Linked DNA regions of Oryzias latipes. The protein of the gene in region 1 purifies or fractionates together with the protein of each later gene. This does not show direct contact. Links are inferred from orthologs where the notes say so. Each region holds a gene or a part of one and is shown in the gene's direction. Other genes may lie near its edges.

Region 1 (4,191 bases):
AACAATGTAGTCGTTATTTTAACGAATAAACAAATAAATAAGCCCCCCTCCCCGAATTGCTACGGCCACATCCCCGTTTCTGCTTCAGACCTTTATTTGGGTAAAACCCCCCATTCCTTCTGAGCTCCTCCGTCCAGAGGTTACGTTACCGTTAGCATGCTAAACAATACGAACGCTAGCCTGACGCAGCGCAGTTTTCGCTCGTTATTTAACAAACGGGTTTAAAACTCGAGCGAAAAAAATGCGATACAGAGTGCAACACACATTACAGATGTTTCATAACAGCGTAAATAAACGAATGCAGTTTTTTCGGATACATTATTTAGCGCAGAGCTAGCTGGCTGCTCTGTTGGTCAGGGCTGGGATCAGACACTCAACTTTAGTGGAAAATAACAAAGATACTCCTTTATCTGCTGCGCTTTTATCCAGTTGCTTAAAACAGACAGTTTTGTATTGATTAGTTAAATACATAAATAAAATTAAATGAAATACCTACTTGATGCTGGCAACAAAGTCTACAGTAGCTTCTGGAAAAACGGTTACCGCAGATCCAACCGTCAGCCGTCTTTAATGCCAAGCAGACTGCTGCTGTGGCCAATTATTTTCCTCGACCAGGCCCCTTTGCGGTTGCCAGGTTGGGTTCACAAAATATTTTATTTTATTTTATTTTATTTTATTTTATTTTATTTTATTTTATTTTATTTTATTTTATTTTATTTTATTTTATTTTATTAAGATAACCTATGAAATGTACTCCCAACTTTTGATCTTAAATTTGTTTTTTAATTATATTTTTTCACTTGGCTCGTAATAGATTTCAGCTGAAAATAAAAATCATGGTTCTTTTATGTTATTCAACCATAAATAAATTAAGTATGAAAAGTAAAAAAAGTATAAAATAATACATAACCTATGATAAGTTTAAACAAAAATCAGTGACAGTGACATCTATTTTGTACGATGGTGGCATTAAATTTAATTTGGGGAGTTTATTTTTGTTTCATAGATGGTTCTATAAACTAACAAGCAAATTCTGGATGAAGAATTATAATCTAAGGTGTCCATTCCAGATAGGAGTGTGAAATGTATGCAGAACTCTCAATAAAATTCTATTTTTGAGCTCAAAAGTTTATTTGGGTTTTTTTCTTCTCAAAAACCTATTCCTATAGAAAAGACATCATTAAAAGAAGGTTTACAACTCTTTTAATTAATGATTCTGTCTGGATTATTTATTGCTAAAATTTACAAGTTTCATATTTCCTAAAACAGTTTATTTTATGTAAAATACTAACTGTATATGATAGAGCATCCAGCGTTAACAGTGACCCAGACGCTTCTCAAGCAATATCTGGCAACTCACGGTCCACGTCGTCATTTCCGAGGTAAAACACCAGGGTCCGCTCGATTTATCTCCTTGCTCCGCCAGCTACCTTTCTAGTTGTTTGAAAGGGCAGTCATGTTATCTCCCTTCCACTTTAGCCTCCTCTTTAGAACAAACTCGGAGCTAATGTTTGAAAACCTGTAGCTTTTTTGCTGCAAGGGATTAAATAGTGAGGGAACGTTTGGGGACGTAGGGTCCAATTGAGGGGAGCGAAGCAGCACATTTATTACACCAAAATGGCAACCCCCTATGTCACAGATGAATCTGGTAAGACAGTGGTGCAGGTGGCAAACCTATTTTAAAGCGAATCTAAATCCACTTTATTCACATATTTTACTCTCTTAGTTCAGCTTTTTTTTATTCTTTCATCAGCGGATCGATAGTTATTTTGCGCCATGCAGTCGACTCTACTAGTGTTTTGCTGTTTTAGCAGCTCATGTTGCTGCTAACTTAACATTTCTCATCGAGCGACAGTTAGCTTGTTGCTGTCGCTCTCGAGGTTTATTACATATAACTGAACGCTTTGTATAACCATTAGTGACTCAAAAGAAAGACTTTTGTGGCCACAGATGTGTTTTTGTTTGTTTTTAAAGCGTAGTTTTCGCCTTTATTTATGTGCAGTTATTTGCCTGATTCTGCATTAGCAGGCTAGCATTAGCATTGTCACTAATGTGACGAAAGCGACAGCAAACAAACTATGACGACATTTTACTACCGCTAGAGCTCCATCAAACCTATTATTTTTAAGCAAACCCCTTTATTTTTTCCTCTCTCTCTGCGTCTGTACATGAACGCATTGAGGTTCGCTGGATTCTAAATGAAAAAATAATTGCCTTTTCGTGTTCTGCTTCCAATTATAGTTTTAAATTGAGTTATTTTTTATTAGTATGTTTTTAGGGCTTTGTTAAGTGGCCTTTTATTTATAAGAAAACAAATGCAATTACTTTACCAAAAATAACTTTTATAAATAAAAATTTCCCTTGATATTATTCCTTTTTATGTATTAAATTAGGCGTCTACTACAACTACATATAGATATATATTACAACACAATTCTTTTATTGTAAAATTGTTTTTAGAAATAAATCTTTATTTCCCCCGCAAATCTTCCCCCTTGCAAATTATGCTATATTTAACTGCAGTTTTTTGTGGTAAGTTTGAAACATTTGAGATTGCTGCCCTCTGCTGGTTGAAATGGGTTTCCGTTACCATGGAGACGTGCCGTAAATTGTTACTTTAGGCTTGACGCAGAATAAGGAACCCACAGTCCTCATCTGACCTGTAAAACTTAACTAAGGACTTAAAAAAACAGATTATACACCTCAATGTAAATATTTTTTGTGGTTGGAGTTTCACATTTTTATTGGCCCTTGCAATTTAAAAAAAAAATCTTGCAAGTATTTTCAAGTTAATAAGCAATTTGGGTGCAAATCTGTATTGATTTTAGATGTAGATTTGAGAAACTGCAAAACATATGGACATAAGCTTTATGAGGCAATGCTTAAATGGAACTGGAGCTCTAAAGCAGAGCGAGTATCTGATGTTCTACCTACTGCTGTCCAGGAAAATACATTGCTGCTACCCAGCGTCCCGATGGAACATGGAGGAAGCCAAGACGGGTCAAAGAGGGTTACGTTCCCCAGGAGGAGGTCCCCGTGTAAGTGTATTTTCCCTAAAAGTGGCAGTCATGTTGACTGATTTCAGACCAAGCCAGAAACTGTCTCATACCAAGAGCTGATCATTTAGTGTAGGTTGATATGAGAATTTGTATTCAAGCTGCATATTTGATGCATAACTTGGTGGTTTAATGTAAGTAGCCTCTTGGAGAGACTAAAGTTCAATATATGGAGAGACATTGTTTCCCTAGATTTTATTAGATGTCTTAGCATTTATTCAAATAGACAAGAAACAAGAAATATTCCCTCCCCCATCATTTAAAGACACAGAAAAAGAAATGATCCTAAAAGCTTTTCCTAAATTTGTACTGATGTTTATACAGTAAAAAATGTAATGAAAATCTTCTCAAAATATCCTTAAAACTAATCTTTTTGAGTGTTTAAGCTAATGTAAAAAAGGGAGAATGTTTAAAGAAAGTAAATTGAAAAGAAATGGAAGAAATCTCATACATAACTCATTCCATTCATTGGTCAATTTTCAAAAAAGTCCTTATTTGTATATTTAAAAGCATTTTTTCAGGGAGATATTCCCATGTTGTGTTTGTTTGCAGTTGACATACTGTAAATACATCGCCAGTATTAACACAGATCATTTCGTTGACACTTTTTGTTTTTTTTATTATTTTATTTTATTTATTATTAAGTCTGAATGCTAGAAATGTTTTTCTCTATTCTCATCATTCCCACAGTCTTTATTTTTGTTTTTTTGCTTAAATCAAACAGTTTTTAAATGGTACATAATCAAACTCCCAACTAATAATTATAATAATAATAAAAAAAGATGTTTTGTTAGTTTTAAAATGTGAAGCTTCCTGCTTTCTGTTGGTTTCTTGCAGTGTTTAGTCGTGGTGCAGATGCTGAGTGTCTATGTCCATTTATGAATTCAATCTTAAGCAATCAATCAAACTATTCAGATGTGCTGGGATAGGTCAAAGACGTCAATCAGACTTAAAGAAGACATTCTCACTTTAGTGCAGACACACACAGCCTGTGCATAGTTTGCAAACTTCCAGTTTTCAGAGCAGAAGTCATTTGAATGTTGCACAGGCATTTCTAAGAGCACACCATAGGGATCCTGGTGCATTTGGGACTTTAAAAACTTTCCCTCTGTGGGCTTTTCCTCACATTTCATGG
Region 2 (3,987 bases), on another chromosome or scaffold:
GTCAGGCATTGCCTAACCTTCAGTACTCCTACTGGGCCTGTCATTTACACATTATATCAGGATGGTTACACTCATTTTTGCATCAATCTGAACCGCATGTAGACAGTTGGTGTTATGAGCCTTTCCCACTACTGAGTCTATTATCCCTAGATCCAACTAAACTTCCAATGGGGATAAAGAACAACACTATTCTTATTGTTACACTTAGAATTTGGAACAGAATCAGGAATCAAATGGGTCGAAAAAACTTTTCCAGTGTGATGCAGCCTCTTATTAAAAACGTAGCATTCTCCACAGGCTTAGATTTTGGGATATTTAACAAATGGCATGATAAGGGTTTAAAACATGTCTGCAACTTTTTTGAAAAAGTTGTTTTTCTGTCTTTTGGACAAATTCAAGATAGATTCAGGATATCACGCCAAGATTTTTTAGGTTTCCTACAGGTGAGACACTTTGCTCGGACCTCCCTCTCTTTCCCAGGTGACCAACCAATCCTACACCCAGCAGAAAGTTTTCTTTTGAAAGTTAATGAAAATGCCACCTCCAAGAAGAAATTCCTTTCTCTCTTTCATGCACAATTAATGGCACTGACAAGTGGCTCACTAACAAGTGAGAGATCTAAGTATCGTTGGGAGACAGATTTGGGAATTGACCTTGATGTTGAAACTTGGTCAAATGCTTTTGTATCTGCTCAAAAGACGTTTACATGCAACAAACTCAGGGAAAACCAATATCGAAAATTTTACAGAACTCAATATACACCAGAGGTTTGTTTTGTGTTCTTTTCTTGAAAAGTTAATAAAGTATAATAAAAAATAAAAAAAACAACATTTGGAAACTAAAACGAGGAAAAAGCCACAGCAACTCCAAAATCTTTATCTTTTAAAGTGGATTTAATTTTTAACAAATATGATTACATTTCAAAATTTTTCGTTTTCTTTGAATACTGGTGTTAGAATGTAAAGACTTAAGTTTACTTTTTTTTTTAGCAATTTTAATTTGATTTCATTTAAAGCTTTTTTTCCCTTTTGTCCCTTTCACAAATATCTCCAAAACTAAGCTGTAAGTTGTAAACAAAATAACTCTCATTTTTTTCATTTACCTTTTACTATATGTGGCTAAATTTAACAATACTTTAATCTGTTTTCCAATCACCCCAGTTGAACCTTTTATTTTTGCGCTTTGTTTAGCCTATTTTCATACTACTAAATTTTAAAACACATAAAATAAAAACATATAAAAAGAAATAAGCACAAATATATATTATTCTTTTCAAAGTTCATTCTTTTGTAATTTATTTTTAACAAAAATCAAAATTACACACACATTTTTTCCATTTGGAACATTGAAGTAAAATCCAAAAACATGAAGCAGTATTAAAAATGTAAAATTATGAAGATTAGACGTGAGCGTGAACAACTGTCGAAAATCTTGCCGCAAATGAGCTTGGACTGCCGTAAACAACCCCTGATTCTCGGCGTGTGAGACCCCGTCGGCCTCTTCCTGCGGCATCCTAGTTGAAGGCGGTGTGTTTCGGAGACAGATCCCGACAAAATCACATTAAATATGCTCTTATAGTGTTTCTTAACTTTAAATTTTTGTTTTCTGTGTATTTCAGAAACATGCCAGCTAAAGGTCCTCTGCAGTCTGTCCAGGTGTTTGGACGTAAAGTAAGTAAAAATGTGGAGTTTATTACACGTGTGGTGTTGCTGGCTTCACTTCCATGCTAGCGAATGCTAGCTAAAGTTGCTAACGTAAAGAGGCCATAACCAAAAATATTACTGCTTTGTAATTGTGTGGCTTAAATGTTACGTATTAATGAACCAGTCAGACAGACGCGAACACCTTCTATTATTGATATGTTTTTTATTTTATTTTTTATTTACAACAATGTTCTTGTGGTTTGTTTAGTGGAGCTTTACATTAGCCCTTAGCTTAGCTAATTAGCTCTGCCCAAAATAACAGTTTAGTATTAAATCTGCTACAATACGGCACCACATTTGATATAATAGAATAGGTACACATCTATATGTTATGTTTACATAACATAATGTCGCTTGAGCTAATTTGTCAAAAAAAATATTGATAAATTGGCATTAAAATGAATGTATCTTTTTTTCTTATAGAAGACGGCCACAGCAGTTGCCCACTGCAAGAGGGGCAATGGCCTGATCAAGGTGAACGGCAGACCCCTGGAGATGGTGGAGCCTTCTACACTTCAGTACAAGGTTCTTATCTTGATTCCTTGAATTTTAGTGAAGTAGAAGGTGCGATGCCTTTATTTTGAAGTAACACTTAGGGACGTTGACGCTCTTTTAACGTCTAATCTACGTTGTAACTGCTAAATATGACCCAAAACGGTATTGTATGACATGATCGTAAAGGTTTTCCCATCATCTGTGTGATTAACCTCAAAAGTTTGTGTGTATTAACAAGTTATAGTAGTTTTAATGTTTTCTATCCCTTCAAACTAAGATAAAGTTTATCTTTCTAGTATTTTGTTTTGTTTGTTACTTTACAAGAATTTGCCTATAAATTGAGCAAATCCATTAACAAACTAGCTGTTGTGATCAGCTTCTGGAGCCAGTTCTGTTGTTGGGAAAGGAGCGTTTTGCTGGAGTTGACATCAGAGTCCGAGTGAAGGGGGGTGGACATGTCGCACAAGTCTATGGTAAGATCACAACACCACATGAAGTGTTAGCCTGTTGTTTCCCCAAATGTTTGACTTTTATCGTATTGTTTTACAGCCATCCGTCAGGCCATCTCTAAGGCTCTGGTTGCATACTACCAGAAGTGTAAGTTTTATTCTGTAAACAAACATCATAAAATGTCATATGTACAAACATTAAGCTAGTGTTTTATATGTTAAAGATCCATTAATGTTTCTTATAAGACAGAAAGACATTTGTATGCACAATTTATGCTCATTTAAATCTGGTTTATGCAAAGATCTCTGGGTAAAAATAAAGGCCGACTTTCCTTAGTGCTGGGCTGTACATTTACTCAGTGATTGACCAGAGTTGAAGGACTTTAAAAAGAAAAACACAAAGTCCTGATAGGAGAAGTTTGATCAACATTTAAGATTAAAGCTGCTTTTTGGTGTCAAAGGAAAAGTGATGACGCAGATTCTGCTTCACATCTATAAATCCATCCATGAACGGTGGGAAACCCTAAATGTGACCAAAAAGATCCATTAAAAAATGCAAAGAAGATGGAAACATATTCAGAAAAGTAGCAACAGCTGCCAGCTGATTGAGATATTTAAGGTTCTAATAATCTGAATGTTTTTTTTTCTTCTTCAGATGTTGATGAAGCCTCCAAGAAGGAGATCAAAGACATCCTGATCCAGTACGACCGGACCCTGCTGGTCGCTGATCCACGTCGCTGCGAGTCCAAGAAGTTCGGTGGACCTGGAGCTCGTGCCCGCTACCAGAAGTCCTACCGTTAATCGCTGTGTACATTTATGCAATAAACTGGATGAAAGAAGGATGTTGCTGTTGGAGTTTTGACTTTTAAAAAATGTTTTTACTATTCATCCCACGATCCTTCAAACGTAGATGTAGCTGTTAACCTGCCATGAACCTAAAAGCAAAGTCTTTTTAAAAGCTAAATTTTTGCTCTTTAATTTTATTTTCTTTGTGAATTTATTTCTTAAAAGATGATTTTAAACATTTTAAATAAAACTGCATGAATACTTTTGCTATTATTTAAGGATTTTCCTGGATTGACAAAGATTTTTAAAAAATGTGAGTGTGAAATGCAGCAGACAGACAGTTAAAAATGTAACTGATAGGAACAATGAAGTAAACTCCAATAACTATATGTCACCGAGGGGCAACCTTGGATAAAGATTTACATCCCATAGACACATCAACAATGTGAATGTATATTCCTTTTGCAATGCACACACAGGTAAATAGATGAATCTCAGAATTACTATGAAAAGATGTTTGCTAAAAGATACTTTCAGAGTCTTAAAGTAACTGG
Region 3 (4,230 bases), on another chromosome or scaffold:
TTTTTTTTTAATCATTCCTCCTCCTGATAAAAAAATAGATGATGGTAAAAACTATTTCACCCAGAAAGCTGAAGTTCTGACTGTAGCAATGAAAATAATATTACAATTAATTAAGTAATGATTAATCTAATAAATATGTAAACAGTCGTGTAAATCACAAATATTGTATCAATCACAAATATAAACTTCTGTGAAACTCTTGAAGTTTGCAGACAACACTACAGTCAAATGCCTTACATGTGCAGTCATGCTCTTATTAGTAATAAAGATGATTCTGATTCTAAAACCTTGACATCAATATTAACACAGAATGTACTAATAATAATTATGATAGAAATTGCAACTCTAATATTAATAACAAGTATAGTCACAATTTTAATAATAGAAATGCTATCCCTTGCAGTATAATAAAGTATTTTAAATCATATTTTTGTTGTGTGAATGTTGACACTAATGTTTAAAACAAATGTATACATTTCTCATTGTTCTCATTATATCAGTGATGACACTAAATATAATACCAAGATAACAACAATTTTCAATTCTTGAAAATATATGGCATGGAAATTTTAACAATGCTATTAATAACAAATATATCATTAATTATATTGCATTAAATTGTCCACACTAAAGTATAAAAAATCATGATTATTTATTAATATCATGATTGAGTAAGTAAGTAAATTTTATTTGCATAGCACCTTTCACAGACAAAGATCACAGGTTAAAATATATATATATATATATATATATATATATATATATATATATACATATAAAAACATAAAAGATAAAAAGCACAAACCACGTAAAACAATCATCTCAAGCCCAATGAAAGCAGTTTCAGTTAAAATGCTTTGCAAAAATAAAAAGTTTTCATGATGATAAATGTAAATTATTTCATAAGGGATAAATTAGAAATCATGATTATTAAAACATAAATTATCGTTTAATATTATGCATTTTTACCAGTAACACATGTGATATTAATCATGAATATTATAATAAAACTCTGCACTAAAAATTAATAACAAAAATTTCATTTTCAAATAAAAACTCATTATTAATCTTATTATTATATTTGACTAATTTTATATTAATAAATGCAAATTTTCTTCATCTCCTATTTTTTCCCTGTGTTATTAATCAAACAAATTTAAATGTATCTCAGTAACATCTCCAAAAGTCTTAATCAGAAAGCTGCATGTTTGTATGAAAGTTGTTGAAATCTGAATGTTTTTTTTTATCTAAAACTCCTGTAATATGTATGCTACCCTGGCATATCTGAAGTTTACTTAGCAAAATTGTGTTTTGTATTAAACTTACTTACGTTTTGTACAATAAAGTTTAAAAAAAAATCTTTACGGAAGTTACGTACTCAGACTCTTTAGTGATTCTCCGTGCGCATGCGCTGTTCGTACTCAGTCAAACAGACATCATGGCGGACGTGTTGGACCTTCATGAGGCGGGAGGAGAAGACTTTCCTATGGATGAGGATGGTGACGGTATTGCGTTGTTTTACACAATTAGAGGCGGACGCACCGCAGTCCTGCCAGCCAAATAATGAAATTCAAATAGCCGCACGTGCGGTCAGAATCACGCTCAGCCCAGACTGCGTGTTTGTTAGCGGGCCGCAGCCGTGTTAGCATCCAGCTAACTCAACGAAAGGCGGTCATTCATCCACTTAGCGAGCCTCTCAGCGGGGGTGCAGCCGTCTGTGTTTGCGAGGGCCGCTTTTAAAATGTTAATTATTTAAACGGACTGTATTTTTCTCTGCACGTTAAAGCTGTTTTGTTTTCTATTAAGCTAGCGCTAGCATCCATGTTAGCCAACGGCTACATGCTGTTAGTGTTGCGCAGATGAGAGAAAAAACGTCGATTTAAAAATTGCACATTGTTCCTAAAAAAACAACCCAAAAACACATATAGTTACTCCATTTGAGAACTTCATAAACTAAACTCTTGTGAATTAAAGGAAACTGAAAACGGCGTCCTTAGGCTTTTATTCGTCTGTTTGCAGAAAGCATCCACAAGTTAAAGGAGAAAGCCAAGAAGAGGAAAGGACGAGGTTTTGGTGCAGGTGAGCTTTCAAAGCATTTTTCCCTTTATTTTTCTTGACTTCTTAGGGTTTGGTTTTGATTCTAAGTTTTTGATTCCAGATGATGGGGCCCGGTCCAGAGCCAAAGAGGACTATGATACTGTGGAACAGGACGGAGATGAGCCTGGGCCTCAGAGATGTAGGTGTTACAAGTGACCTTCATGTTCAGATAGAAGCAAATTAACAAGCTGTAGTCACACTTAGATTGTAAAAAATCTAAGATCTTTGTGTGTATTTTTTTTTATTTTATTTATTTAATTTGATTATAGAATAAATGGTCAATGTTGTGCTTTTCTACCTTTACTAAGCCACTAAGGGCTTGAAAGTCCCAGTCCCATGCACAGTCACAGCCTGTAACCCCCACGAGCGTTGTGGGGTTTAAGTGTCTTGCCCAAAAGACACGTCCACACATGGGCAGGCAAGGCAGGAACTGAACTTTTGATTGAAGGTCTACCTCTGCATCACAGCTGCAGATAACTAATTTAATTTAACCTAAAGTTCATTGTTTAAAAGTTATAAATCAGTTTCACGGCTGCGTTTTAATTTTGACCTATGCAAAAACTAAAAAACTGCTCTGAAACAATGCAGACTTTTACTTTTGAAACTGCGTGAATGCCAGCAGGTCAGGTAAACTCATCTGCTTGTCTTGGTGTGGAGACTGGGGGGTTTGGGTGTCTGATGCCCTGTTCCCTCCCCTCTCTGCAGCTGTAGAAGGCTGGATCCTGTTTGTGACGGGCGTGCACGAGGAGGCCACAGAGGAAGACATCCACGATAAGTTCTCAGAGTTTGGGGAAATCAAGAACCTCCATCTTAATCTGGATCGCAGAACTGGCTATCTGAAGGTGAGTTTAAACCATTTCCTTTTTCTTTGAACACATTTTGTATTTTAAAGACACAACATTTGGATGTCAAATGTTGCTTATGTTCCAATGAACATCTAAGCGGAAGAAGTGAATATTTGATCAACATTAAAAACAAGCATTTAGGCAGTAATTATCAGAGGGAAGGATGGAAGTCATCATATTAATGATGTGGAAGATTTCATTCAGTAGGATTTAATCATATATTTTATAATACTTGTAGAAAAGAAAGTTGGTTGCTAAAATAAGGCTGTTGTGTTCTCAGAACAGTTGCGTGAAGGGGTTAAGAGAGAGCCTGGACTGCCCTTTTGTAGCAGCACTTTAGTTTCTGTGAAGTGAAGCTGATATTTAAGAACAGTCGTATGAAAAACAAACTATTTCGGCTTTATTATTACTGAGGGATTTTCTTTCCGTCTTATTGGTGTTTGGCCGCCACTAAAGGCTAAAATGCTCAGTGTTGAGTCTTTGACTTTTCCACCAAAATAAAAGCTTTGGCATAATTCTGGTCTAACTGCACGACACAAAAATGGATGAGAAAAGCATTTGGGGGGCCGTGAGAAGAAGAGGGTTGACCTTTCTGCAGTTTGTTACTTCACGGTCTGCTCAGTGAAGGAGGAAACCGTCTGACATCTGCACTTTGTGATCAGAACTGTATTATAATAATTGTCAGATTTCAAAGGGTTGTTTTTCAGTTTTAAAACGAGTCTGAGGATACTTAAAGCCTGACTGTCACTGTATTTTCACTCAAAAAAAATATGTTTTTCTCTTTTGGTGCAGTGTTTTTCAACCAGTTTATAACTGGAAAAAAATTCCATTTCACCTAATTGGGCTAAAAAAATGTTTTCCGTTAGCAGGATATCAGTTCTGTGTTCATCCGAACAGACCCGGCTTTTCCACTGGAGTATTTAGAAATGTCTGCTTTGGTTTTATTGGTTTAGTTTAGTTTGTCATTTGCATTGTTTACCTAACATACAGTATAAACAATTAATTAAAAAAATAGGCAGAAGCATATGAAGCTTATTATATGCCTGTCCTTCAATGTCCAAGTTAATCAGTTTAACAAACCAAAAAGTAGGAAACAGTCCTTAATAAATGGAGACAAGTAAACAAAGTCCTTCTACATCTGTGTTTTGTAACCTTTAATATGTTTTAGACTTTTTTTCTTTTAACTGAGAATTACGTCATTTTAATTCATCGCTCAATTCCTTCCATTATTTCACGTCAAGAACTGAAACACATCTTGTCTTGACATTAGATCGAACATTAAACCTGT

What was found. The genes of interacting proteins can lie anywhere in the genome.
Region 2: the proteins of pym1 (region 1) and rps16 purify together in Homo sapiens (co-immunoprecipitation; 3 studies listed by BioGRID and IntAct, with this or other methods). This does not show direct contact. The link is inferred for Oryzias latipes from reciprocal best matches to the Homo sapiens genes PYM1 and RPS16.
Region 3: the proteins of pym1 (region 1) and rbm8a purify together in Homo sapiens (co-immunoprecipitation; 11 studies listed by BioGRID and IntAct, counting the BioPlex papers as one, with this or other methods). This does not show direct contact. The link is inferred for Oryzias latipes from reciprocal best matches to the Homo sapiens genes PYM1 and RBM8A.

Annotation. Positions count from the first base shown.
Region 1 is NC_019865.2:22,063,040-22,067,230, reverse strand, and holds the start of pym1 (partner of Y14 and mago), read left to right. Parts: upstream 1-1,391; 5' UTR 1,392-1,617; coding exon 1,618-1,648; intron 1,649-2,944; coding exon 2,945-3,038; intron 3,039-4,191. UniProt on the Homo sapiens protein: Key regulator of the exon junction complex (EJC), a multiprotein complex that associates immediately upstream of the exon-exon junction on mRNAs and serves as a positional landmark for the intron exon structure of genes and directs post-transcriptional processes in the cytoplasm such as mRNA export, nonsense-mediated mRNA decay (NMD) or translation.
Region 2 is NC_019881.2:19,224,423-19,228,409, reverse strand, and holds rps16 (40S ribosomal protein S16), read left to right. Parts: upstream 1-1,450; 5' UTR 1,451-1,526; intron 1,527-1,618; 5' UTR 1,619-1,622; coding exon 1,623-1,670; intron 1,671-2,126; coding exon 2,127-2,228; intron 2,229-2,574; coding exon 2,575-2,671; intron 2,672-2,747; coding exon 2,748-2,795; intron 2,796-3,302; coding exon 3,303-3,448; 3' UTR 3,449-3,487; downstream 3,488-3,987.
Region 3 is NC_019874.2:29,126,620-29,130,849, forward strand, and holds the start of rbm8a (RNA-binding protein 8A), read left to right. Parts: upstream 1-1,430; 5' UTR 1,431-1,438; coding exon 1,439-1,499; coding exon of another isoform or gene 1,500-1,505; intron 1,506-2,019; coding exon 2,020-2,079; intron 2,080-2,158; coding exon 2,159-2,236; intron 2,237-2,802; coding exon 2,803-2,939; intron 2,940-4,230.